Linked DNA regions of Kluyveromyces lactis. The protein of the gene in region 1 purifies or fractionates together with the protein of each later gene. This does not show direct contact. Links are inferred from orthologs where the notes say so. Each region holds a gene or a part of one and is shown in the gene's direction. Other genes may lie near its edges. The genes, in order: PRE4 and PRE8.

Region 1 (2,992 bases):
TAATGGGGAAATTACTCAATCATCTACCCCGGTTTCATTACCATTTGGGGCCGGTGCTCTGACAAGAAGAATGAAATTCGAAAGCAAGCACGTCTTACTTCAGGAAATTGTGGATGCTTACAAGTCTGCAGTCACAAAGATTGGCATCCCCAAGGAGATGTACGATGAAGCACAGTTAAACGGCGGGTTCGATTTATATACATGCGGTGGTGGCTTGCGAGGGATGGGTCATCTTCTATTATCGCAGATCAAAGAATATCCTATTCAAACAATTATAAATGGATTTTCATGCAGTTTTAGCGAGTTCTCAAACATGTGTGACTACTTGTTTTTGAAGGAGAGAGTTCCAGGTGAATCGGCAAGTAAGATCTTTAAAGTCTCTGATAGAAGAGCCAAACAATTACCAGCTGTAGGCCTACTCATGGCAGCAGCTTCCGAGTCATTGCCCAAGATCAAAAACGTTCATTTCAGTGAAGGTGGTGTCAGAGAAGGTACTTTATACTCGATTCTTCCAAGGGAGATTAGAGCACAGGATCCACTTGTCATTGCAACCAGACCCTATGCTCCTTTGCTTGTTCACAAATATTTGGAACTATTAAGGACTGCTATACCTACTAAAGAGATTCCAAAGATAGTATACGAAAGAATAGCTCCTGCTCTTTGTAACCTCGCTTTCGTACACGCTTCATATCCAAAGGAACTACAACCGACCGCAGCACTACGTGTAGGTACATCTGGTATCATTGCTGGGTGTCATGGGCTATCTCACAGATCAAGAGCTTTGGTGGGAATAGCATTGTGCAATAGATGGGGTGGAGACATACCAGAACCTGAAGAAGTGTACAAAAAGCTATTGGAAGACATTGCACTAAGAGATGGTGACAAACTAGAACGTGAAAGGACAATATGGTGGACAAAATACATTGGCACTATCATGTATGTCATTTGTGGTGTTCACCCTGGTGGTAACATTGGAGATGGTGTCTTCCATTTCAGCACTTCGGAGAAAGATGAATCGGCTATTGATTTACAGATGCTATCTATAGATGAGAACCTTTCAGGAAACGGCAAGCCAACTCCAACAGGGAACCCGAACAAGAGGATATTCGAAGTTGTTGTCAAGATTAACAGAAACGATCTAAAGACTATTGCTTCTGTGAGGCAAAGAATCATCACGTTGCAAAAGAAAATAAGGAAATTATCCCGTGGTTCCAGCGACAAGGTTAAGATCAATGTAGAATTCTATTGAACACTCAATTGCGATCTCAGTATGTATAGGCTTTATATAGAATGCTCTTTATTTTACTTCCCTCAGCCTCCCTTCCTGTTGAAGATTTAATATCTAATTTACCCTGTTTGTAACAAGCCTCAGACCCTAAAATGTGATATAAATATTCGTGAAAGCGCCATATAGGTAGTGTAGTGCGCTGCTGTGTACTACTATCCGATGGTCGTATCCTCTGTTGATCACTCTGTTTTAGCTGGAAAAATATAGCGTTACCCGCCCTTTAACATTTTACCTTATTAGAACGATTTTGCCACTATCGAATATAAGAGAGACATGCAATTCATAATTAATACATAAGGAGTTCACTTCACGACAGGTTACAATCAACACTAAAGAGTCACCAAGGGTATTTTCTGCGAATCCAATCCATTGAAACACTTTCCAACATGAATCACGATCCATTTGCCTGGGGAAGGCCATCTGACGAACACTATGGCGCGTACAATCATGCCATTGCCCAAGCGTCAAATAATCCAAAGATGAATACTCAGAACCCTATTATTACCGGTACTTCTGTCATCAGTATTAAGTATAATAACGGTGTTATTGTTGCAGCTGATAATCTAGGTGCTTACGGTTCGTTATTACGTTTCACAAACGAGGAGAGATTGATCAAAGTGGGTCCCAACACGGTTGTTGGTGTATCCGGTGACATTTCCGATATGCAATACATTCAACATCTATTAGACGAGATGGAAATTGAAAACAATTACGATAGCGCATATGCGGATAATGAGGAGCAATTGAAACCAAGCTTCGTTTTTGAATATCTATCATCTGTGATGTACCAACGTAGATCCAAGTTAGATCCTTTATGGAATGCGATAATTGTAGGGGGCACAGAAGATGGAAAGCCATTTTTAAGATACGTTAACCTATTAGGTGTCACATACTCTTCGCCAACGTTGGCTACAGGGTTCGGTGCCCACTTGGCATTGCCCCTTTTAAGAAAGCTAGTAGACACCGAAAAGGACGTGGAAAAAGTGAATCTAGATGTTGCTAAGAAAGCTATCCTAGAGGCAATGAAAATATTATACTACCGTGATGCCCGTAGTTCACGTAAGTTTTCATTGGCTATAATCGACAATGAACTGGGGCTCAATATCGAAAAGGACCTACAAGTAGAGAATATGTCTTGGGAATTCGCCAAAGACATCAGAGGATATGGTACCCAAAAGGTATAGGTTTCGGATTTACTTCGTCTTGTCTTCATGCTTTCACTTATCCACGCAGATAATACTTGCACCAAAATACACAATCTCATGCCAACAAAGGAAGAGCAACACATGGTGATCCTGCTCTGGTAATATATACTTTCTTTGTCAATAACGGGAAGACCTCACCTCTTCTGTGTTTTCTCTATAAATGTATACTATGCGTAAATTCTGAATTAGGGCACATATTCACACATAATACACCAAGAAAGAAACTGATCAAAACGGCGTCAATGCTGTCAACTACTGGACAGCCAGCTCAGTCATTATGTCACTAAGATATTTCGAGTGAAGGGACCTGTATATATGAAGGTTATCGTTGGAGTTACCTTTCTTTATTCTTTTACAGTTCCAATTCTTTTAGAAAACAAGTTTAATTCTATATAAACAAGTAGTAACCTAATTGATTAATGAATCATCGACAAAGGAAAGACTAGAGGACTTATAGCGCTAGCCCAGTATACCTATATTCCATACTCTCAAATACAAC
Region 2 (3,053 bases), about 110 kb from region 1:
GCAAAACACTTGTACATAGCGATAGGAACAGTTCTATAATCGAAGACTTTATTTAATATATATTACATCAATTGTAAACACATTTTCAGTAATTATAGGGTTATCATTTGATATCTTTTGTCGTCGTGGTTGTCAGTTTTTGTTTCTTGCGAGAACTAAGAAGGGGTTTACCGTCTGATTTACGTTTTCTTGGCTTTCTACTATGTAAAAGGTTCTGATTTTGGAGCCAGCTTTGTCTTTCCACTAGCCTCTGTACATCATCTTGTTCTGTAGGATTTAATACAACAATGTTCAATCGCGTGTAGCTGGTACCACAAACATAACAACCGGTTCCGTTATCTAATGCGCTTAAGGTGTTCACATGTCCGCATGTATCAATGTAGCCAAATTTCCTACGGTTCCCCAATACAAGATCAGTTGTTGTTGTACCAGTACCGGATAAACTGACACCAAGAGTGCCATTGCCAAGTTCTTGCAAATTCGTTAACTCCACTAAATCCTTTCGCAGCTTAATATGTGAAAAGGCATCTATGACCACTTGGGTGTATTCTTCAGACTTATACTCGGGCTTCACCAAGAGCCATTCCAATATTGACTCCTTATTGAAAAGGTTGCCCTTACAGTCACTAAACAAAGGTGGCATTAGTGGTGTCCCCAAGAGACGACAATTGGACCACAAGTCATTCCAATAGTACTCTAATTTCTTAGCTTTGGCCGCATTTTTGGAGGCGTCATCGACTACTCTGATTCTAACGCCTTTAATTATGGATCCTCCATCGTTCTTAACCGTAAAGTTTTGTTAATTGTTAGTAACACATGCTTCAATTCATATCATTAACGTTACGTTATAGTCAGAACGAACGTGTCATTCGCTAGCTTCGGAGAAGTAACTCAAAAAGAAAAGGGAAAAAACGTACTCCCATATTGCGTGAGGATATAATAGATCAGTACAGGTTTTCAGAACCCCCCGAATACAGTCCAAAATATTTTCTTCTTGCTCATCTCATCTTATTTACCTGTGTGAATGTGCGATGTCATTTTTTTCTGTTGCAGCCTTAAAAATCCCTCTCTGCGCGTAGAAATATACAGAGAGAATGATAACCAAAGTCTACTTAGAGAAGCAATAAGGGAAAAAAGAGGCCGACAACTATCGTTCATCTAACCTTGAACCACGAACATAAACTCTTCATGTTACGCAAAAAGCTTTTCTCAAAACCAGATCTACCTCTTGTTATCCGGTTATTGTATCGCAACGCCAGCTGGAGAGACTTGGGAATTATATTGTTACCCGGAAATATCCATCCTACATTGAAATTTAGGAAAAACCTTTAAAAGGTGGCAAACAATATGAGCTCTGAGCATGTTTCGTTTCTGTCGTAGAAGACAGCAACCAGAGCTAATTGAGTCCAGGATTGCGCATCAGTACTGCAGGTACTCATAACTAATATTAAATAAAAGATGGCTGACAGATATTCGTTTTCTTTAACGACGTTTTCCCCAAGTGGTAAATTAGGACAAATTGATTATGCTTTAGCGGCTGTCAAGCAAGGTGTTACTTCGTTGGGTATAAAATCGACCAATGGTATTGTGATTGCCACTGAAAAGAAGTCTTCATCAAGTTTGGCATTACCAGATACCGTATCCAAAGTTTCGCTCATAACACCCGACATTGGTGCAGTATATTCTGGTATGGGGCCAGATTTCAGAGTCTTGGTGGATAAGGCAAGAAAAGTAGCACATACGAATTATAAGAGAATTTATGGGGAATACCCTCCAACTAAGATATTAGTCTCTGAAGTAGCTAAGATTATGCAAGAGGCAACTCAATCAGGTGGTGTCAGACCGTTTGGTGTTTCTGTACTGGTAGCAGGACACGACGAACATAATGGGTTCGGTCTTTATCAAGTGGATCCATCTGGTGCATATTTCCCATGGAAGGCAACTGCCATTGGCAAAGGCTCGTCTGCTGCTAAGACATTTTTAGAGAAGAGATGGAATGAAGAATTAGAACTTGAAGATGCTATACACATTGCTCTTTTAACATTGAAGGAATCAGTGGAAGGAGAATTTAATGGAGACACTATCGAACTTGCTATTGTAGGAGACATAAATCAAGAATTGTTGGGTTATCAAGGTGAACCTCGTGCAAAGGGCCCAAGATTCAGAAAATTGACTTCACAGGAGATTACCGATCGATTGGACGCTTTATAAGTAAAATGTTGAACGTTATCGTCACGGCACGAGCACAGGTAAGAATATAAAGGACTCACATGTCTTATGACATTTTATGTGTAATACTTCCTTATTTAATTGGTAATGAATAAATTTGGGGGGGCTACCAAGAATCGATCGAGTGTTGTATGTGTAAATTTGTATCAACGCTTGAATCTCTCATCATTATTTGACGTATATATATATATATAATACAAATTAAACGGCGCTATTTGAAAGGCGCTTTTAATGGGTCTATAACTGTACTTCCCTTGGTCAAAATTCTTGGCTTTATCATCTTTTGATGAGATGTTCTGGAAGTCCATTCTTGCCCTAGTGGCATTCTTAAAGATCTTTCGTATTGTTCTCTGCTTTCGAATGGGAAAGGGACAGAGGACGATTGATATTTTAAGTTCTTTTTGTTAACTCTCTCATTTATGATGACGTTCTTCAATGATTTGTCTCTTCTTTTGTCTTTTTCCACCACACCTTTCGTCTTCTTGATGAATTTCCGCTTTCTTTTGGTTTCAGCACCAGCACCGGCCCAATCACCCCAGCCAGGCAATGTGACGTCCTCTTCCTTATCATCTTCATCAACAGCGACTCTCCTTTTTTCCTCTTCAAATTTAGAAACAACATCGTCCCCAGCGAATGCATCGGCTATGACCTCTTGTTGTTTAAACATGGTATTTGTAGAAGTTTCATCATCAGAACCACCATAAGCATCAACGATGTTCAAAGTGTTGCTATCCTCAAGATCAAGTAGAACGTCTTCATCTTTTGTGGAACTGGGTTTCTTCTTGCTTTGTTTTACCATCTCTTTTCTGATCTTGTGCGCAGCT

Evidence for each region.
Region 2: the proteins of PRE4 (region 1) and PRE8 purify together in Saccharomyces cerevisiae (affinity purification with mass spectrometry; 5 studies listed by BioGRID). This does not show direct contact. The link is inferred for Kluyveromyces lactis from reciprocal best matches to the Saccharomyces cerevisiae genes PRE4 and PRE8.

Annotation. Positions count from the first base shown.
Region 1 is NC_006040.1:986,170-989,161, forward strand, and holds PRE4 (proteasome core particle subunit beta 7), read left to right. Parts: upstream 1-1,674; coding exon 1,675-2,472; downstream 2,473-2,992. Other genes in the region: RTG2 (Rtg2p), read left to right, coding at 1-1,249. UniProt on the Saccharomyces cerevisiae protein: Non-catalytic component of the proteasome which degrades poly-ubiquitinated proteins in the cytoplasm and in the nucleus. It is essential for the regulated turnover of proteins and for the removal of misfolded proteins.
Region 2 is NC_006040.1:875,333-878,385, reverse strand, and holds PRE8 (proteasome core particle subunit alpha 2), read left to right. Parts: upstream 1-1,458; coding exon 1,459-2,211; downstream 2,212-3,053. Other genes in the region: KLLA0_D10395g (uncharacterized protein), read right to left, coding at 104-781, 918-923; UTP14 (Utp14p), read right to left, coding at 2,441-3,053. UniProt on the Saccharomyces cerevisiae protein: The proteasome degrades poly-ubiquitinated proteins in the cytoplasm and in the nucleus. It is essential for the regulated turnover of proteins and for the removal of misfolded proteins.